3 linked regions of the Oryctolagus cuniculus genome follow. The protein of the gene in region 2 binds, or shares a complex with, the protein of the main gene of each other region. Links are inferred from orthologs where the notes say so. Each region holds a gene or a part of one and is shown on either strand. Other genes may lie near its edges.

Evidence for each region.
Region 1: TIMM50 (region 2) and TIMM17B share a complex: the UniProt entries of both Homo sapiens proteins name them as parts of the TIM23 complex. The link is inferred for Oryctolagus cuniculus from reciprocal best matches to the Homo sapiens genes TIMM50 and TIMM17B.
Region 3: TIMM50 (region 2) and TIMM17A share a complex: the UniProt entries of both Homo sapiens proteins name them as parts of the TIM23 complex. The link is inferred for Oryctolagus cuniculus from reciprocal best matches to the Homo sapiens genes TIMM50 and TIMM17A.

Annotation. Positions count from the first base shown.
Region 1 is NC_091453.1:34,069,911-34,076,900, forward strand, and holds the start of TIMM17B (mitochondrial import inner membrane translocase subunit Tim17-B), read right to left. Parts: upstream 4,875-6,990; 5' UTR 4,737-4,874; coding exon 4,711-4,736; intron 3,884-4,710; coding exon 3,784-3,883; intron 1,454-3,783; coding exon 1,390-1,453; intron 1-1,389. Other genes in the region: PQBP1 (polyglutamine-binding protein 1), read left to right, coding at 5,474-5,540. UniProt on the Homo sapiens protein: Essential component of the TIM23 complex, a complex that mediates the translocation of transit peptide-containing proteins across the mitochondrial inner membrane.
Region 2 is NC_091449.1:15,488,689-15,495,899, forward strand, and holds the start of TIMM50 (mitochondrial import inner membrane translocase subunit TIM50), read right to left. Parts: upstream 3,780-7,211; 5' UTR 3,732-3,779; coding exon 3,624-3,731; intron 2,981-3,623; coding exon 2,821-2,980; intron 2,398-2,820; coding exon 2,366-2,397; intron 2,162-2,365; coding exon 2,140-2,161; intron 137-2,139; coding exon 78-136; intron 1-77. Other genes in the region: SUPT5H (transcription elongation factor SPT5), read right to left, coding at 4,900-5,043, 5,124-5,219. UniProt on the Homo sapiens protein: Essential component of the TIM23 complex, a complex that mediates the translocation of transit peptide-containing proteins across the mitochondrial inner membrane. Has some phosphatase activity in vitro; however such activity may not be relevant in vivo.
Region 3 is NC_091444.1:17,856,458-17,863,762, reverse strand, and holds the start of TIMM17A (mitochondrial import inner membrane translocase subunit Tim17-A), read right to left. Parts: upstream 4,012-7,305; 5' UTR 3,960-4,011; coding exon 3,934-3,959; intron 637-3,933; coding exon 537-636; intron 421-536; coding exon 357-420; intron 1-356. UniProt on the Homo sapiens protein: Essential component of the TIM23 complex, a complex that mediates the translocation of transit peptide-containing proteins across the mitochondrial inner membrane.

The sequences.
Region 1 (6,990 bases), on a different chromosome or scaffold from region 2:
GAAAAGTGGATCAACAGGTACTAAGTTAAAGTTAGGTAAGTGTAAGAAGTTCTGGGCTTTCACCGCATGGTAGAGTGACTACAGATAACATGAATGTACTGTGTATTTTTCTATGAAAATCAGTTAGAAGATTTTGTATGCTTTTACCATAAAGAAATGTTAAATATTTGAGGCAATATATATATATATTTACTCTGATTGGACATTACACAATGTACACATGCATCAAAAGATCACATGGGGAGGGCAGCACTGTGGTGTAAAGCTGCCACCTGTGACACCAGCATCCCACATGGGCACCGGTTCAAGTCCTGGCTGCTCACTTCTGACCCAGTTCCCTGCTAATGCACCTAGGAAAGCAGCAGAGGATGGCCCAAGTGCTGGGCCCCTGCACCTATGTGGGAGACCTGGAAGCTTTGGGCTCCTGGTTTCGGTCTGGCCCAGTCCTGGCCATTGCAGCCATTTAGGGAGTGAACCAGCAGATGGAAGATGTCTCTCCCTCTGTCTCTGCTTCTCCCTCTCTCTCTCTCTCTGTAGCCCTGTGTTTCAAAAAAATAAAATAAATCTTAAAAAAATATATAAGATCACATGGTTCTCCACAAGCAGACACTATTTTTATATATCTGTTAAAAAGTTAGATTAAAAAAATTCCCAAACTGCAACATTTCTGGTTCCTTGCAGTTTGAATACTGATACTCATTATGCTTATAGTTAAAATGGTTACTGAGGGCTCATCAAGTGCCAGGAACTATTCGAGATACTTGACTTCAGCAATTTAGAATTAGTTAAGAATATTAAAGCTCGGGGCCAATGCTGTGGCAAGGCAGGTTAAAGTCCTGGTCTGCAGCACTGGCATCCCATATGGGTGCCAGTTCGAGTCTCGGCTGCTCCACTTCCAATCCAGCTCTCTGCTAAGGCCTGGGAAAGCAGTGGAAGATGGCCCAAATGCTTGGGCCCCTGCACCCATGTAGGAGACCCAGAAGCTCCTAGCTCCTGGCTTTGGATGGGCTCAGCTCCAGCCATTGCGGCCATTTAGGGAGTGAACCAGTGGATGGAAAACCTCTCTCTCTCTCTCTCTCTCTCTCTGTGTGTGTGTCTCCACCTCACTCTGTAACTCTTTCAAATAAATAAAATAAATCTTTAATAAAAGAATATTAAAGTGCTTAGCATAACCACCTCTAAACTAAAAGTAACACAGGACCTGGATTTGAACTCTAGAAATGATTCTTGTCCCCTCGGTATTCAGTTGTTGGAAAATGCCACCCACCTGGGAAGTCTCAGGCAGAGCTAGGGCTACAATCTGGACCCCCAACTTGTAGTCTAGTCCTAAAGGATCACCTTACCCCCACCTTTGCCATCACATGTCCTGTGTCTCCCCAAGCCCCTCACCTCCAATCTGGGGGGCTCGGATCCTCACCGCGTTGATACTACCTCTCAACCGGTGCCGCATTCCCTGGGGAAAGTAAGGAAGGGAGTCAGGGCAGGGTCCCGGCCACTAGTAGACAGGGCTTCTAGTTTTTAAGAGAATGTAGGGAATGGGAGATCTGTTTAATACTGAGAAGCAGCAAAGAACTAGGGGCCTGGTGAGCACCCCAACATGAGTATCCTTGGAGCTGGGTTGGTAAGTGTTCATTCATTCATTTGTTGGCTCATTCATTTAATGAATGACTAATGGGCATCTACTATGTGCCAGGCACTATGTTACAAGCAGGGATACAGCAGCGAATGGGGTAGATCCGGGCTCTGTCCTCCCAAAGCTTACATCAGTGGAAGGCAGATCCTGAGCAAGAGTACACACAAACAAGACAGATGCGGGCAGCAATATGCACTCCGAGGAGACAGGTTAAGAGAAGTGATCATGGCTGAGGGACAGGAAAGGCCTCTTCACAAAGGGGACATTTGTGCTGAAATTGTGACGATGAGAAACACAAAGATCTGGGAAAGGGAGTTCCAGGAGTTGAGAGGAGGGACAGAGCTACATATAAAAACTGCAGAGGACTGGACCTTGTGGTGCAGTGGCTTAAGGCCCTGCTTTGGATACCAACATCACATATGTGAGTGCCAGTTCAGGTCCAGGCTGCTCTGTTTCCTAAACAACTTCCGGCTAATACATCTTGGGAGGCAGTAGATGATGATTCAAGTGCCTGTGCCCCTGTCAGCCACATGGGAAACCCAGATGGAATTCCGGGCTCCTGGCTTCAGCCTAGTCCAGTCCTGGCTGTGGTGGGCAGTTGAAGAGTAAACCAGCGCATGGGCGCTCTCTCTTTCTATCACTCTGCCTTTCAAGTAGAGGGAAATAAATAAAACATTTGTTTAAAAATTACAGACTGGGGCAAGCATTTGGCCTATTGGTTAAAGCACCCACATCCCATATTGGAGTGCTTGGGCTTGATCCCCACCACTAGTTCCTGTTTTTAAGATTTATTTTATTTATTTGAAAGGCAGTGGGACAGAGAGAGGGGGAAAAACAGAAAAAGGGGTCTTCCACCTGCTGGTTCACTCCCCAAATGGCTGAAGCCAGGAGCCAGGAACTCCATCTGAGTCTCTCCCATGTGGGTGGCAGGGACCCAAATACCTGGGCCATCTTCTATGGCCCTCCCAAGCGCATTAGCAGGGAGCTGAATCAGAAGCAGATCAGGTGGGACTTGAACCAGAGCTCTGCTATGGGATGCTGGTGTCAAAAGCAGCAGCTTAACATAAATGCCTTCCAGCCCCAATTCCTGAGTCCAGCTCCCTGTGAATTCAGACCCTGGAAGGTAGCAGGTGATGGCTCAAGTCATTAGGCTCCTGCTATCCATCTGAGAGAGCTGGATTGAGTACCTGGCTCCTGGCTTTGGCCCAGGCTGTTGTGGACATTTGGGGAGTGTGCTCTCTTTTTTTTTTATTTTTTTTATTTTTTTTTATTTTTTGACAGGCAGAGTGGACAGTGAGAGAGAGAGACAGAGAGAAAGGTCTTCCTTTGCCGTTGGTTCACCCTCCAATGGCCGCCGCGGCCGGCGCGCTGCAGCCGGCGCACCGCGCTGATCCGATGGCAGGAGCCAGAAGCCAGGTGCTTTTCCTGGTCTCCCATGGGGTGCAGGGCCCAAGCACCTGGGCCATCCTCCACTGCACTCCCTGGCCACAGCAGAGGGCTGGCCTGGAAGAGGGGCAACCGGGACAGAATCCGGCGCCCCGACCGGGACTAGAACCCGGTGTGCCGGCGCCGCTAGGCGGAGGATTAGCCTATTGAGCCGCGGCGCCGGCCCGGGAGTGTGCTCTCTTGCTCGTTTGTGCTCTCTCCTGGCCCCTCTGGCTCTCAAATAAATCAAGAGATCATGACAAATGGTGATACATAAAGCCATGACATTTGATGACATTTTGTTTTTTGGCGGGGAGGGGAGTCAGGGAAATAAACCGAAGTATGTTAAATTAAAATGATTTTCTCAACTTTAAGGCTGTCCTCCTTCTGTCACTTCACTCCATCCAGGTTGAAGACCCAGCATCTGCCTCTAAAATCTATTTGGTTTTGCACACACACACACACACACACACACACACTCGGGACTGGGGAAGAATGTTTTTACAGCACATTTCCACCGAGGAGGTCCAGCTGGGTGGGGGAAGGGGACAAGAGGTCACATCTGCAGTTCCCCAGGTCCAGGAGCCAGGTCTGGCACATAGTAGGTGAATAGGGACCAGAAGAAGTTAAGTGCATTGGCCTGGCAGCTCCAAGCAGCTTTTAGAGTAGCGTCCTATGTGGGCAAGGCTGCTGACCCCCACACCACCCGGTGGGCCAGGACTCACAACAGGGGCGTTGCGGAAACCCTTGATGGCCTGGAAGACTCCGCCGCCGATGACACCCATGGTGAAGGCTCCACCGCAATCATCCACAATTCGCCATGGGCTGAAAAACCGGAAGGGAAGGTTGGGGTTAATGGGAGCCCCTCCCCTCCCTGGACTCTCTCCAAGTGGGAGAAACCAGTCACTGGAATGGCAAGTTTGTGAGTGAGAAGAAACACTTCAGATAACAACGAGCTAGTTCTGTCATTCTTTTTCCCTGATGAAATCGAGAAATGGGGCAAAAGGGGAAAAATAATAGTCTCTGCCTTGATCACCTTTTGCAGGCATCCAAGGAATCAGCCAATTACTTTACTAGCAAATATTAAATGAACTGAGGCATGTAGAGTTGGCGCATTTCAGTAAGGGTTACGGAAGTGTTAACTGGCTAGTTATTAAAAACGAGGTGACAGCCCCTTCTGGGACAGTGGCATCCAACCAAGCCTTGTCCCCTCCTCCTCTTAAACCAAGCACAACTGAGAAAAACCCAGAGGCCCGTTGGGAAAATCCAGCACCCCTCCTCACCCACAATAGGTTCACGCATGCCCCGCCCCGATTCACACAAGCGACCTGGGAAAAACCATGCGTGCCACCCTCCACCCACGCTGGAATGGACTGGACCAGCGTCTCTGCTCGCTAACAAAGAGGAACAGGAGCCACAAAGCCAGGGACAACATGGCGTGGTTCGTCCTGTACCGCCCCTTCTCTGGGCACACAGTTGTGGCCCCTTTTAAAGAACCCCGAAAGGAAGGAAGTACAGGGAGCGGAAGGCGAGAAGATTCTAAGTCTCCCTAATCTGGGACGCCGCACTGTGCGGCCGGTGCCTCCCCCGCCCGCCTCCCATGGCTGGTCTTGGGGCAGCAACAGTCCCGATGCCTGTGCCCATCGCCGTACCAAGGCTCCCGAGCATACTCCTCCATGGCGCCGGCGTCTGGAGGCACAGTCAGGCCCGAATCCTGTGGGCCACGCCCCCAGTGGAAACGCACCACAGGCGCTCTAGCTCTTCGCCTATCCCAGGACAGCGATTGGGTGGCTTCGCCACGTCAAACGCAGGACGCTTCTCATTGGACACCCAGGATAACGTCATCTTTCCACTGCAGTCCCAGCGTCTTCCAGTTACGTCTTGGCTCGGGTATTGAGTACGCCGTTGTGTGCTTTGGGGGAAACGAGTGGTGTGGTCCTGGTGATCAGAGCAGTGGCGAGAGGAAGGAGGCTGTTCTTTCTACCTGCCCGACTGTACTGGTAACGCGGGGAGGGGGAGGGGGGCATGGTTTTGCAGAGCTGGAGGAAGGGCTGCATTCCGCTCCCCCACCCCAGGGCTTTGGTTTTTCCCACCCAGCAGTCTTTGAGGGAGGTTGGGTGAGCCAGTTTCTGAAGCTGCGCTTGGCGCCTTTGGCGGTGGGTGGAGCCCGGGAGAGGAAGTGGATCCTGGAGCTCCGGGCCTAGTAAGTGAGCGGCTGGAAGGAGTTTTGTGACATTTGCAAGCCTCTTGTCTCTCGTGTTTTAGCGCATAGGTTGAGTCCGCCCAGCTAGCTCCTGGTGTATTTGGGAAGGTGAGAGTCCGATGAGTACATGCTACGGGAGGGATGAGCTCTGGGTTATGGGATCCAGATTTGAATCCTCATCAGTCTGTCTGTCCCCAGATCTGTCACCCGCTATGCCGCTGCCCGTCGCGCTGCAGACTCGCTTGGCTAAGAGAGGCATCCTCAAACATCTGGAGCCTGGTAAGAGAGCTAAGAGCAGATGGGCGTATCATGTATCAAGCCTGATAGGCCCTTTTTTCATTGATATGGACACTAAACACTCAGCGTGGACCTTCTGTGCTCTAAGCCGTGGCATGGCAAGGATTCCTGATGTCCATTCCTTTTGCAAACCATGCAATGTGTGTGTTTGTGGGGGGAGGGGGAGGTTGAAAAGATGCATATTTCATTCTTAACAATACACAACACTGATGCAAATTTCGGGCCTCCACGAATCACATGGAGGTAAATGCATAGTATTTAATAGGCTATGTGTCAAGTCCAGGATGTTGTTGTTTTTTTCGACTTACTCATTTGGGGCTGGTGCTGTGGTGTAGCGGGTAAAGCTGCCATCTGCAGTGCCGGCTTCCCAAATGGGCTGGTTCAAGTGCAGCCTGTTCCATTTCCAATCCAGCTCTCTGCTGAGGCCTGGGAAAATAGTGGAAGATGGCCCAAGTCCTTGGGCCCCTGCACCCGTGTGGGAGACTGGAAAGAAGCTCCTGGCTCCTGGTTTTGGATCAGCGCAGCTCTGGCCATTGTGGCCATCTGGGGAGTGAACCAGCAGATGGAAGACCTCTGTCTCTCTCTCTCTCTCTTTCTGCCTCTGTGTATCTCTCTCTCTGCCTCTGCCTCTCTGTAACTCTGACTCAAATAAAAATCTTTTTTTTTTTTTTTTGACAGGCAGAGTGGACAGTGAGAGAGAGACAGAGAGAAAGGTCTTCCTTTGCCGTTGGTTCACCCTCCAATGGCCGCCATGGCCGGCACGCTGCGGCCTGCGCACCGCTCCGATCCGATGGCAGGAGCCAGGCGCTCCTCCTGGTCTCCCATGGGGTGCAGGGCCCAAGGACTTGGGCCATCCTCCACTGCCTTCCTGGGCCACAGCAGAGAGCTGGCCTGGAAGAGGGGCAACCGGGACAGAATCCGGCGCCCCGACCGGGACTAGAACCCGGTGTGCCGGCGCCGCTAGGTGGAGGATTAGCCTATTGAGCCGCGGCGCCGGCCTCAAATAAAAATCTTTTAAAAATATTTTAAAGAAAAGATTTATTTATTTGAAAGGTAGAGTTACAGAAAGGCAGAGAGAGAGAGAAAACTCTTCAATCCTCTGGTTCACTCCCCAAATGGCTGCAATGGCTGGAGCCGTGCCCATCCAAAGCCAAGAACCAGGAGCTTCTTCCTGGTCTCCTGTACGAGTGCAGGGGCCCAAGGACTTGGGCCATCTTCTGCTTTCCCAGCCCACAGCAGAGAGCTAGATGAAAAGTGGAACAACAAGGACTCGAACTGGCACCCATATGGGATGCCGTTGCTGCAGGTGGATGCTTAACAAAGTTGCAGGCAGATGATTAACCTACTTTGTCACAATATCAGGCCCCAGGATGTTGCTTTTGTTTACCATACTGATAGAATGTATTTTAGAAGTGCTGTGTTGGAAACAGAG
Region 2 (7,211 bases):
GGCGGGACGGGAGCTCAGCCAAGGAGGCCCGGGCCGGAGGTGCAGGGACGGGGGCTGGGTCCGGAGCCCCTGCTCACCTGTCTGTAGTCCTTGAAATATTTGTAGGTCCGGCGCAACTGCTGTACCAGAATCGGATCTAGGACACCAGGCACAAGGGTTCCGGGATAAGCCGCTGCTCACCCTCCAGACAGAGTGCGTTCACGAGCGGTCTGATCCTGACTCCCTGGTGTGAACTGGCTCAGCCCCGAGCCCAGAGGTGGAAGCAGCGCGCACTGTCAGGTGAGGGTGGAGGTTTCGCCTGGACACTCCCGACCACACGATGCCGGGCCGCCGGGAACACGCACGCAAATCTGCGGACAGCACGCCAGCACACCCGGCCTATTCTGGGCGAGCAGGCGCCGTGTCTGCCCACTTTGAGCCACGGTGCTGAGTCTAAGTACGCCACACAATACATACGGACAATGGGTATTTGAAACCACCGGTTCTCAACTGGCAACGATTTTGCCTCTCCCTTTCCCTGGGAAACCAGGCAACCTCTGGAGACACTTCTGGCTGTCAGACGCTGGCATCCGGTGGGGGGATGCTAGATACCCTCCCCAGCTACACGGGCAGCAAAGCATCATCTGGCCCCGGGGCCACCAGGGCTGAGGGTGCACAATCTGTTCTAAATAAACACGCTGAGTCGTTTGAGAGGCAGAGAGAGAGAGAGAGAGAGAGAGAGAGAGCGAGAGAGCGAGAGAGAGAGAGAGAGAGAGAGGTATCTTCCATCAGCTGGTTCACTCCTCAAATGGCTCTACCAACCAGGGCTGGGCCAGGCTGAAGCCAGGAACCAGGCATTCCATTGAGGTCTCCCACACGAGTAGAAGGGGCCCAAACAGGTGGGCAGATGAGCCATCAGCGCTGCTTTCCAGGTGCATTGGCAGACAGCTGGCTAGAATCAGCACTCTGACACAGGACACAGGTGGGCGGTCCACGTGGCAGCTGAACCCAGGGCCCCAGAGCCCACCTGCAGCTGAACCCAGGGCCCCAGAGCCCACCTGCAGCAGCTCACAACCACAAACTCCTGTGACTGTCTCCCATGACTTTAAAACAGGATGCAGGTATTTCAAAGTTGGTGGAAAAAATTAAAAGGTAGTTTTGGTGTAAAAACAACTGAACACACGCATAGTTTTCTCACAATACACACCTTCTGTGAAGGCGGGGAGGTACCTGCAGGGCTTCACAGCTCTCCCGATGCGCCTGTCTCAACAATACTATAGCACAGAGGCTCGTGTTTGATACAGAGTCAGGACGCCAACGGGGGTCCCCCATTCCACTCAGCGGGATCTGGGCTCAAGTCCCAGCTCTGCTCCTGAGTTCTACTTCCTGTGCATGTGCCCTGAGAGCTGCAGATGATGGCTCAAGTCCTCGGGTCCCTGCCGCGTAAGAGACCTGGACTGAGCTCCAGGCCCCTGGCTTCAGCCTGGCCCAGCCCCAGCTGTTGCAGATATTTGAGGAGTGAACCAGTGGATGGGAGATCTGTGTCTTTCAAATAAATAATAAATTTTTCTTTAATCACATTATTAAAACCAGCTAAGGCAGTACACATAAACATGATGTTTATCTGCCCAGGAACCAAATGAAATGCCTGTTGATTTGTTCCAGTCAGGATGGTCCTACACCTGCCCAGTTAAAACAGCACATCTGCCCGCTTGCCCAGTTTAATTAGTGCAGTACCGTGCCTGTGTGCAAACTCGCCCAGCAGAGGCCAAGTGGCCTTCTGAAGGCACCAATGTCAGCCTCTCCCGGGCAGGGCTGGGTGGAACAACACTCTGCAATCTGGCAGAACAAACTCCATCCAAAGCCGGGTTGAATGGGGGTAAACTCAGAGGCCGCCACAGAGAGGGGCAGGTGCTCAGACCGAAGGCAGCAGACGCCGTGTCTGTGGATAAGCAGCCTGGTGTCCCCAGGCCCTGCCACCGGGCTCCCCTCCCCCACCTGGCTCTGACCATCTGCTCTCTGAGGGCTAGGTCTCTGTGATGCCCCTCCCAGAAAAGCATCGAGCTGCTGGCTCCCCTCCCCCAGCGCAAGGAGGAGCTGGGGGCACCAGATGGGCAGAGCTGGCTGCGTCAGGGACTCAGTCTCTGCTTGTTGACTCACCATTGTCGAACTCATCAGGAATCTGGGAAGCAGAGAGAAAATGCAAAGTTTGGGGTGGCAGAGGCAGACCCCACCACCACCCAGCAAAGCGATCTCCAGGGCCTGATTCCAGGTAGGGAGGGGCTTGCCCTAGACCCAAAAGGAGCCAGAGCGGACCCAAAGGAGGCCCTGACACCCACCCACAGGCTGGGACTCCTGGCAAGGCCTCTGGTCTCTTTCCACTCACCTTGGCACCGTTTTCATCCACAGGGTTGTTTCCTGCAAGGGAGACAGGAGTGAGGGAGAGGAGCTGGGCGCTGCCTCCTGGGTCTTGGAGGAGATGGGGGACAGGGGGCATAAGTGCACCAGAGACACGGCCTCCTGGGTTGGGGGGGACGGAGCCCCCTGGTGTCTGAGCGATGACTGTGCTGGACTGTGGCTGCAGGGAGGAGACACAGCCCAGGAGGCTGGTCCAGGCCTTCCCCACCTCCCCTCTTCCAGTGGCTCCCCACAGCCTCGTACAGGAGCCGACCAGTTAGAGTAGAACCTTACACAGGGGTGAGAGAGACGAAAGGAGACCCCCGATTTCCAAAGCAGGTTTCCTACTTGGTGGCCCTGTGCAGGGAAGCGCCCGGGAGTGAAGATGAGTGGCCCAGGGGCGGCCCCAGGGGAACAGAGAACTGGGGGGCCGGGGCGTCTCACCGAAGATGTAGACGATGCTCACGGTCCCGCCGGCCCCAAGCAGCCCAGCAAGCCAGAGCGCGACTTTCTTGGCATAGCTGGGACCCTCGGAGCCCGGCGGCTGCTGCTGCTGTGGTCCCGGGGCCTTGGCTCCCCCGCGGCTCCCAATTTCCGCAGCAGCCTGTGGTGGAGAAGGGGGTGAGGCCCTGCGGCGCGGAGGGCGCTTAGCCTGTCCCGCGGAAGGAGCCCGGGGCGCGGGGGCTGGCGGGCCGTGGGTGTCAGGAGCGCCGCGGGCCCCACACACGGGGCGTTGGGCCGGGAGGTCAAGGCGTCCGGACGCCCAGAGGGGCGGGGGCGGGCAGGGGCGATCGCTTGTCTGGGGGTTGGGAAAGTGGCGCAAGGAGGCCACGGACTTGGAGGTCAGAATGGCTGGGTCCCGTCAGCACGGAGGCGGGTCGAACTGGACGCCTGACGTCCAGCTCACCTGCCCCACGCCCGAGGCGGACAAGAAAACCTCAAGGCCAGGCTGGGGCTCTCCCGCAACTAGCGCCGGAGTGGTCCCCGAGGTAGGGAGCAGGCGACCCTCCGCCCCCGGCGCCCACGTGGCTGAGAGCGGAGGTGCAGAGGGTGCACTCGGGCCCCAGCATCCGGCCGGAGGAGAGCGCAGCGTTCGCTCCGGGAGGCACGGAGCCGGCCCGAAGGGCGGGCAGTGTTCCATTCAGCACCCTGAGGTGCGGCATCCCAGAGCCACTGGGCGGCAGCTCCCTGTCTAAAACTCCAAGGCGCGGCCGCCGCGCCCGCAGCGCCTGGCCTGTCCCGCTCACCTGGTCTGGGGCCCCGGGGGGCGGCGTCGCCAACCGCGTGCACAGCCCCCGCGCGCCGAGCCGGAGCCCGCTCCGCAAGCGCGAGAACAGCGCCGCCGAGGCCGCCATCTTGCGCTGACGCCACGAGGCCCCGCCCAGTCTCCCCGCTCTGCCCGCCCCGACCTGGGCCTGCGGCCAATCGGGGCACAGAGGAGGGACGGGCGGACGGGAGCCCGAGAGACCCAAAAGGCCTTGGGCGGACTGCCGCCGGCGCGCTCGCTCCTGACCAGTGTCCTGGCTGTCCTCGGGGCCCGTCAGCCGGGATATGGCCACCTAGCTCCAGTCCTGGGGAGCACCACTGGTACTGAAACTGGACGTGGCAGGGGCAGGGGTCACACTCACGGCTACCCGATTTGCCCCCAAAAACTGATAAGGAATCAGCTCATCTCGGCCCCTGGGGGGTTCTGCCTTCACCTCCTAATTGCCCTAAGTGAAACCAGCAGCGGGCGTGTAGCCTAGCGGTTAGGGCGCCCAGCGTCCCACACCGTATCACCTGGGTCTGATACCCGGCTCCAGGGCCGACTCCACGGGAGACCGGGGCTGAGCGCCCGGCAGGTGGGGCGAGCCAGCAGGTGGCGCTGTCCCCGTGTCAAATGAAGGGAAGGAGGCTCGGGACCCAGGCAGTTCTCTCCACTGCTCCTCCTCCTGCCGAGCGGGGCTTGGACGCTGCTCTCCTCGCCTTTCCCTAGGTCTTTCCTCCGTGGGGAAGCTGAGGCTTGGGTAAGAACTGACCCCACTTACAAACAAGGCCAGGCTCAGGCATCCGGCGCTGGGCGGGCATCCCATACGGGCGCCGGTTCGAGTCCCGGCTGCTCCACTTCCAACCCAGCTCCCTGCTATGGCCTGGGAAAGCAGCAGAAGATGGCCCAAGTCCTTGGGCCCCTGCACCCACGTGGGAGACCCAGGAGGCTCCTGGCTCCTGATCAGCTCAGTTCCAGCCGTTGTGGCCATTTGGGGAGTGAACCAGTGGATGGAAGATCTCTGTTATCTACCCCTCAAATAAATAAATTAAATTTTAAAAAAGACCAGGCTCAGCACTTTTGACCAAACAGCTTTTTATTGAAAGATCGTAACTCAAAAGCAAGCCGGGGGCTGGGGTACAAGAAAGTGGGGCCCCTCCTCCGGACTCTACTCTGATTCCTAGGAGCATGGGGGGGAGGTGACCCAGAGAGGACACCAAGGCAGTCCAGGCCGGCCAGCCCGGCCACTCTGCCTGCGCCTCGGCCCCAGGCACGCCTCAGGCCTCCAGCAGCTTCCCCAGGAAGCGGAGGTTGAGGATCTTGAGCTGCTCGTCCAGGTCCATGCGGACGATGCCGTCCTCACCGTCAATGCTCAGCAGCACTCCCGTGGCTTCCCGGTCCTCTCCCAGGATCACCTTCACCTGCGGGAGGCAGTCAGAGTCAGGGCCCCGCGTCCTCCACCCCCCACCCTCGGCCCCCGCCCCTCGGCCCCCGGCCTCACCTTGTTGTTCTTGGTGGGGGTGATGGGCTCCAGGTGCTCGCTGGAGATGCTGACCACCTTCTCACTGTCCTTCAGGTACACGGAGCACATGCCTCCCTGCAGGGGCACAGCCTGCTCAGCTGCCCTGTCCAGCACAGGACTGAGCCCGCATTCAGGCTCACTCGCAACACGCAAGTCACTTTCCCAAGATGACTCGGCGGCAGCAAAGGCCAGGCTGGGCCAGCTTCCGGGGCCTGGGTCTATGCAGCAGTAGGGGGTGCCCGGATCAGCGGGGAAGCACCAGATGCAGCCGTTTCAGGCCAGAAGGGGGCAGCTTCTCGGACTCGTGCCCCACGGCCCCAGCTCTGGCCGGCTTCTTCCCCCACGTGCTCCTTTTCCTAGGCCCTGGTTTCAGGGGCAGCCCCACAGTCCCCAGTCCTTAACCTGACCTCTGGACATCATGTGGTCACTTCCCTGACAACCCTGAGCTTTGAGGTCTGTCCACTCAGCCTCCTGGGGGTCTCTTCCACCTGTCTCCCTCCTCTTCATGGCTCTCCTGGGAACAGCGGAGCCTCCTGGACTCCCAGCCCCTGATTCCACCATGCCCACCCAGTACACTCCTGATAGAGCAACACATAAAGGACTCCAGACCACAGATCTCATCCCATCTCCCTACTTAGTCTTCCATGGCTCCCCAGGGTCCTCTGCACAGTCCAAGATCCTCGAGCCAGAGGTGGCTCAACCACTTCTCAGCCTCATCACTCACCCTCCTGTTGACCGATATGGTCCAGCTATAATATACACACTTCACCCCAACACATGGAGGCCTGGCCTCGGCTCCCGGCCCTCACACACACAACTCCCACTATGTGGCGCACCACGAGCCCCTCCCTGGCCATTCTGCTTGCCTTACTCCTGTTCACTCTCCAGGTCCTGCCTCAGAGGCCATCTTCTCCAGGAAACCTTCCCTGGGCTGCCTACCCCAGTTCTGCCCACTCTGGGCCGTCTTCCCCAGGGGACAGCGAGGGCTGTTGGGGAGGCCTACAGCTACTGTGGTCTCTGGTACTGGTTTAATTAATACTGACTAGAGGCCAACAAGGTGTTGGTCCTCACCTAGGCAGGAAGTGGGGTGCCTGAGGAGTAAGACACGGGCTCTCTAACCCAAGAACCACAGCAGAGAAGGCGGTGCATCTTAAGCAGCAGGTGCACGACATAAAGACTTACACAGGCGCCTGCAGGGAAGTGAAAGGCAGACAGAGTAGAGTTTCTGTGCAAAGGCCCTGAGACTGGCGGGAACTCTGAGCTGGTGGGAGAGGCCCCTGAGCACAAGCCTGACACTTGGTACATTTTACTGGACTGATTTCTCAAAGGACCCTCAAAACAAGCCACACTGTGAGCCACGCTTTGTTCTAGGCTATGGGGCTTCAGCCGTGAGCACAACAGGCAGAAATCCACACGTGAGTGCCAGGGTCCGACTCCCAACTCAAGCTCCTGACTCCAGCTTCCTGCCAGTGGGCATCCCAGGACACAGGAGTGATGGCCAAGTCCTGACCACCCATATGGGAGACCTGGATTGAGTTCCCAGCTCCTGGCTCCAACCCCACAGTGAGTGCATATGGGGAATAAACTAGTGTATAGGAGTTCTCTCTCTCTCAAATCAATTTTTAAAAAAGCACCACAGGCCGGCGCCGCGGCTCACTAGGCTAATCCTCCGCCTAGCGGCGCCGGCACACCGGGTTCTAGTCCCGGTCGGGGCGCCGGATTCTGTCCCGGTTGCCCCTCTTCCAGGCCAGCCCTCTGCTGTGGCCAGGGAGTGCAGTGGCGGATGGCCCAGGTGCTTGGGCCCTGCACCCCATGGGAGACCAGGAAAAGCACCTGGCTCCTGGCTCCTGCCATCGGATCAGCGCGGTGTGCTGGCCGCAGCGCGCCGGCCGCGGCGGCCATTGGAGGGTGAACCAACGGCAAAAAGGAAGACCTTTCTCTCTGTCTCTCTCTCTCTCACTGTCCACTCTGCCTGTCAAAAAATAAAAAAAAAAAAAAAAAAAAAAAAAAAAAAAAAAAAGCACCACAGACTTCAGGGGAAGATCAGCAAGGGGAGGGGCTCCCGCC
Region 3 (7,305 bases), on a different chromosome or scaffold from region 2:
TTCAATCTGACCACTGCATATGTTTGTAAGTGAATATAATCTGTCACCTTCCTTATCCCAGGTAATGAATAATTAAGTTCAAACTTGAGCTTGAAGCACATTGTCCTCCTTCTGGAGAAAGGTGGGGGGAGGGGAGGATCACTGTCTAACACATTGAGACAAGATTATCAAATGGATACAGTAATTACAGTTAACCTTCCAAATAAAACATAAATCAAGAAGAACCTCCAGGGATATTAGTTTGTGACAAGCTGTTAAACCAAACAGGTTTTAATTTAAAAAGAAAAACACTGCTCCATCTTCAAATAAACAGGGAAGGCACATTTTGTAGTACAAATGGAAGAAATCCCGCTCACCTCCCAGCTGTGGAGCCCTGGTTTTAATGGCTGTCAGACTCCCTCGTAGTCTGTGATTTACTCCCTATAAAAAAAGGAAGCAACCAAGGATACATCAGAAGTTTACCGGACGACGTCACCAGTAATATTACCAAACCCAGGTTTCAAGTGATGATAAAATAAAACCATTTGCCCACTTACCACTGGAGAATTGCGAAAACCTTTGATTGCTTGAAAGATACCACCACCTATGGTACCCATTGTAAAGGCCCCACCACAGTCATCCACAATTCGCCAGGGGCTGAGGACAGGGGAAAAAAAAGATGACTGTATTTTTCACAAACCATAAAACCTTGTTTGCTAACACAGAAGGATGCAACAGATTCCAATACAGAGCACATTGCAACTGATAAACATTTGGCCTAAAAAACAAGGACTCTGAGGACGTCCACAGCTATTCAGCCCCAAGTCAGCTAGGCTGGAAGGAACAGAATTAACATTAACCTCCTACTCTTACCAGCACTTTATTTAAACAAACATCAAGATGGGGTAAGCTCTTTGGTAGCTATAAACTTTAAGGCTAAGACTTAATGAAGAGGGTCGGTGCTGTGGCGTAATGGGTAAAGCCACTGCCTGCATCTGGCATCCCATATGGGTGCCAATTCGAGTCCTGGCTGCTGCACTTCCGATCCAGCTCTCTGCTATGGCCTGGGAAAGTGGTGGAAGATGGCCCAAGTCCCTGGGCCTCTGCACCCAGGTGGGAGACCTGGAAGAAGCTCCTAGCTCCTGGCTTCAGATCAGCCCAGCTCTGGCTGTTGCAGCCATCTGGAGAGTGAACTAGCGGATGGAAGACCTTTCTCTCCCTCTCTGTAGCTCTGCTTTTCAAATAAATAAATCTTTAAAAAATTTTTTTTCTTCTCTCTGTAGCTATTGATTCTTCATTAAGTCTATTTATTTATTTATTTGACAGGCCATAGCAGAGAGCTGGATAGGAAGTGGAGCAACCGGGACTCAAACCAGCACCCATATGGGATGCCAGCACTGCAGGCGTCAGCTTTACCCGCTACGCCACAGTGCCAGCCCGAGAAGGAAATTTTTAAAGTTCTGAAAGTTGATGCTAATGTCCAGGTTTAGTGAATCCAAGTAAGCACCTGAACCTTTCATTTGTATCAGATCCAGTTAGCACACTGAACCACTCTTAACAACCAGCTCCAAATGTAGCCTAAATAGTTATGTAATGTACCAAGATCTCAGGAATTTGATCAGACTAGAACCACTACCCTAGGAATATGGTCTATAAGAATCTGCTAAATTCATTTTCAACCCACTGTATGTAAATTTCTTTTATGCAGTCAAGTGCTTTACAATGCATAGAAAACCATAACTTCCAAGAAAGCTAGATTTCTTTCCTACAGAATCACTGATCTTTTAACTCTGAAAAAAGAGTATTTGTCTCCTCTCCATTTTACAGATGAACAGACGCTCCGAGATTAAACAACTTGTCAGAAGTCATGTAGGCAGTACCTAGGAGAACCAACTTAACTAAAATACAGTTCTCCCGAGCCCCCAAGCTCTTCTCACTTCATCACGCAGCCTGTGTGTTCTAGGAAAATGAAGTCTTGAGGATCATTAAAGCCACATGATTTATCATATGGTGCTGGAGGTAAGGAAAGCAATTAGGAAGCTATTGTAAAAGGCATTAAGGGCATCAGGTAAAATCCTGGTCAGAGGAACCGAAAGAAAGAATTTTTCAAAGACTACAGACTGCACATACTGGGGCTGGGGCTGGGGGGTTCTTCTAGTTCTGAGCTCGATGACTTGAGGAAGTGCCAAGGGCAATCAGATCAAAGCAGGGGCTTGAACTGTGGCTCAGCGGGGCAGGCTAAGCGGAGGCTTTTCAGGGCACTGGTTCAAGTTCCAGCTGCTCTGCTTCTGATCCAGCTCCCCACCAATGTGCCTGGGAAAGCAGCAGATGATGGCCAAAGGGCTTGGGATTCCTGTGAGGGGCCAGGCTGGAGTTCCTGGCTCCTGGCTCAGCCCGGCTCAGCCCTGGCTGTTGTGGCCAACTGGGGAAAGAACCAGCACGTGCAAGATCCCTCTGAAGCTCTGCTTTTCAAACAAACAAGTAAACCTTTCAGAAAAGATGAGAGCAGCTTTGACTACTAACTAACTGGGTAACTACCGCACTGCTCCAGGACGTATGCACCAAGGGAAAGCACAGGGGCTGCCTGATGATCTGGTAAAGGAAACCCATCGTTCTTTATGATATCTAACTCAGCAATGTCAAATCTTCTATCTCCCTGCCAACCTGCGCTCTGCAGCACATCCAACAGCAGTTCGCGGTGTGCTGAGGTCTGCGCATCTGAGCAGGATTTAGGAGGCTTTTTTTTTTTTTTTTTTTTTTGACAGGCAGAGTGGACAGTGAGAGAGAGAGACAGAGAGAAAGGTCTTCCTTTGCCGTTGGTTCACCGTCCAATGGCCACCGCGGCCGGCGCACCGCGCTGATCGGAAGGCAGGAGCCAGGTGCTTATCCTGGTCTCCCATGGGGTGCAGGACCCAAGCACCTGGGCCATCCTCCACTGCATTCCCTGGCCACAGCAGAGAGCTGGCCTGGAAGAGGGGCAACCGGGACAGAATCCGGCGCCCCGACCGGGACTAGAACCCGGTGTGCCGGCGCCGCAAGGCGGAGGATTAGCCTAGTGAGCCGCGGCGCCGGCTTAGGAGGCCTTTGAAGAGAGCAGGAGGGGCTGCATCGTCTTATACATGGGGTGGGGGGCGGCATGAAGCAGACCACAGGGCTACCAGGTAGTCATTTAAAGGCCCGGGCACTTCCACAGCTTGAGGACACCTTGGTTCCAGCCCTCACACAGTAAACAGGTGCCTAACCCAAACACCAAGAGTGATTCCTCACCTAGGCCCTCAAAGAACAAGGTGAGGCTCTGACAGCGGTTCCACGCTCCATAATTACGGTTTCTGCTGACTTAGTTAAGCTTCTGTTCCCTGAACCTACCCGAGCGCCAGCGCAGAACCTGCACCCGATGAACGCTGAATTAATGAACGAGTCTCTGCTCATGGCTGTCCAGAGCACACACGCTTTTTCTATTTTCCGAATAATCTTGTGAAGCCCACCCCCTTCCCCACGGGAGAATTCCAAGCAAGAAATCGAGGCTCTGTCCTACTGAAGCTCATCCCAACACCTTGCGTAACGCCCGTCTGCAAGGCCCCAGAACGGCACTGGTTCGAGGCTTATCTCCTCCCTAGCAGAGGGACGTGCCCAAGGTCACCTCGGCGGGCACAGGAGACTGCTACTGGCCCCACACGAGGTCCACTGCGCCCTGCGTTGGGAGGACGTTCTGAGGCCCTGTCAAGCCCAAGCCTGGACCTCCTCCCCACCCACGGCCAGGTCCCAGGCGCTGGGTCGGGTGCGGCGAGGCTCACGCGGCCGGGGACCGGGAAGCCGACGGGCCGTTCGAGTCCCGACTGCCCATGTCCAGAAGCCCGCGGCGGAGTTCGGCAGGCACCCTGGGAGGCTGTAAAAGGGAGAACGAGGGCCGTGGGCAGGGCGTAAAGAGAGGCAAGGGCAGCGGAAAAGACTCACCAAGGCTCCCGAGCGTACTCCTCCATCTTGACTCCAGTGGCGCGAGAGATGCCGGGCAAACTGGGTGGAGCCTGACCCCTGCGGCGGAAGTGATCCCGAGAGGGGGCGTTAAGGTCTATGAGGATTGGTTCGCGGTTTCCCGCCGCAGCCAATGGGAGCGGGGAAGAATGTGGGCGGGGCGGGGCCCTTGTCGTGGCCGCTCTGGCCCCGCCCAAGTCCTCGAAGGCGGCGGGTTCGCGCCCTGTGGGCGGGGAGCTAGCGAGTGACGGAGTTCTTATTACAGCAGTCACCCGAGGTGCCTTGGCCTGAGGTAAACCTGGTGTTACTCCGCTAGGGTTCACCGTTTCTCCGTTTCGGCACTTGTGCTGTGAACTCTGAACCCCTGGATGGGGAGGTCCTGCTACCGCACGCCGCGCCTCCAGGGCAGCCAGCGCCTCGGTCCTTTGTAGTGCGAGCTGCAGGTGCGGGTGGCGCCCTCGACCTGCGGGACAAGGCTCCCCTCCCGTGGGCCCAGCCCCGTGGTTCGGGCAGCTCGCCTGCATTCTGCGCTTCTGCAGTCGACGTGAGAGCCCCCTGGAAGCTTGGGGGTGAGGCAGGGAGGCGAACCCAGCGCCGCAGAGCTGGCGGTTACCAGCAACGCGGGGACAACCTCGTCGGCCGCATGGCCTGTTGGAACGCGTGCGCGTAATTGAGAACGCTCTGATGAATGGTGCAGGCCGAAGAGAGGCTGTGGGAGAGGGGTAGCATGGAAGCCCAGAGCGGGAATGCGTGTGCAGCCAGCCCCCCAGGCCCCGTGGGCGTGAGGCCCTGCGCAGAGGGCCGGGGATGTTTTTCCTGGTCTCACCAGGGCCCCCAGGCCCCGTGGGCGTGAGCCCCTGCGCGGGGGCCGGGGATGTTTTTCCTGGTCTCACCAGGCCCATCCTTTAGCTTGCTACCTGCCTGAGCGCTTATTCCATATTCATTACCCAGTCCTCTGGTTGTCTGGCTCTGACCAGATTTCCATATAAAAGAGCAAGCCCTTGGCGGTGCTGCTAGCTGTTCTTGTTCCTTGGTGGGCAGTGTTGGTTTATGTACCTGTGCTTGTTGTATTTTTCTAAAGCCTAAAAAAAGTATTCATTTGTGTGAAAAGCAGAGAGAGAGAGAGAGAGAGAGAGAGAGAGAGAGAGAATCTTCCATCTGCAGCAACAGTGGAGCTGGGTCAGGCCACAGCCAGGATCCAGGTACTTGAGCCATCATCGGCTGCCTCCCAGGATGGTTGTTAGCAGGAAGCTGGACTCGGGGGAATAGCTGGGACTGAAACTCAGAGAGTGATGTGGGATACAGGTATCCCAAGTGGAATCAACCACTGTGCCAAACACCTGCCCTTAAAATTAATTTTTTGAAATTTCATTTTCTTTTACTTATTTGCAAGGCAGAGAGCCAGAGCGCTCTCCCGGTTGCACTGTGATATGGGTGCAGGTGTCCTAAGCGGTGGCTGAAGTGACCGCACCACAGCACTGTCCTGAGTTTATTTCCTTTGACTCAGTAATCAGGGATGGCCGCAGATCTCCAGAGGGACGCGGCCAATCAGATGCTGGGTAGCTCTGTGTTATGAGTGTTATGAGGCATTGGCTCCCCGCTTTGCGAAGTTTGAGAAGTCCCGTGAGCGGTCTCTGCAAGCTGGAGACCCAGCGGTAGAATTCAGGCCAAGACCAAAGGCCCGGGGCCCAGGGAAGCCCACGATATCAGGGCACATCCTCCTTCCTCAGCCATTTATCCCACTCGGGCCCTCGGTGGATTGCCTGCTGCTCCGGTCCACTGGGAAGGGCAGTCTGTCCTCCTGAGTCCACTGTTCTCGGCCAGAGACCCTCAGAAACACCCCTGGCAAGAGCACGTGATCTGGGCACCCCACGGCCCATGCGGACACATCAGTCGGTAACCTGCACAGGGAAGAGACCGAGTTTCAGAGTTCACAAGCAGAGGTCCGGACACGAGCACTGGTCCCCGCTCCTGGGTCCTCACAGCCCCTGTCCTGAAGGACCTCGCTCTTCTGGGAGGCCTTGCTCCAGAGGCCAGCGAGCGGCCTCAGACATCTCACTCTGGGCTCACTTTCCACTGGAACAACTCTCTCTCTCTCCCTCTCAAATGAACAAATACTTTTTTTTTTTTTTTTTTTTTTTGACAGGCAGAGTGGACAGTGAGAGAGAGAGACAGAGAGAAAGGTCTTCCTTTGCCGTTGGTTCACCCTCCAATGGCTGCCGCGGCTGGCGCGCTGCGGCCGGCGCACCGCGCTGATCCGATGGCAGGAGCCAGGAGCCAGGTGCTTTTCCTGGTCTCCCATGGGGTGCAGGGCCCAAGCACCTGGGCCATCCTCCACTGCACTCCCTGGCCACAGCAGAGGGCTGGCCTGGAAGAGGGGCAATCGGGACAGAATCCAGCGCCCCGACCGGGACTAGAACCCGGTGTGCCGGCGCCGCAAGGCGGAGGATTAGCCTAGTGAGCCGCAGCGCCGGCCCAAATACTTTTTTTAAAAATTTATCTCTTTAAGAGGTAGAGAGAGAGGTCTTCCATCTGCTGGTTCATTCCCCAAATGGCCACAATAGCCGGAGCTGGGCTGATCCAAAACCAGGAGTCAGGAGCTTCTTCTAGGTCTCCCACATGAGTTCAGGGGCCCAAGCACTTGGGCCATTCTCCACTGTTTTCCCAGACCGTAGCAGAGAGCTGGATCGGAAGAGGAACAGCAGGGTCTTGAACCAGTGCCTGTATGCAGCCGCTTTACCCACTACACCACCACACTGGCCCCTGAATAGATATTTTTTTAAATATTTATTTATTTATTTGAAAGTCAGAGCTACACAGAGAGAGAAGGAAAGCCAGAGAGAGAGAGAGAGAGAGGTCTTCCATCCACTGGTTCACTCCCCAATTGGCTACAACAGCCAGGACTGTACTTATCTGAAGCCAGGAGCCAGGAGCCCCTTCTGGGTTTCCCACACGGGTACAGGGGCCCAAGCACTTGGGCCATCCTCCACTGCCTTCCCAGGCCACAGCAGAGAGCTGGACTGGAAGAGGAGCAACCGGGACAGAACCCGGCGCCTATATGGGATGCCAGCACCGCAAGTGGAGGATTAGCCAAGTGAGCTAATAGAATAGATAATTTTAAAAATCTGTTTCAATTTTGTTCCAGGGTGAAGAAACCTTTTGGAAGAAATGTCCCCCAGTGGGTCTTCACTGTGTCAGAGGGCCTCTGGTGGCTGTCACTGGAGCAACAGTGACATGAGGGAAAGGTAGGAGGACGCAGTGGAGATGCTTGGGAGAAAACCCAATGCACAAGCGAGTGAGTTTGAGCTGGTGGTAAACACGACAGGGGGGTGTCTCACTGAAAGCCAGTATCAG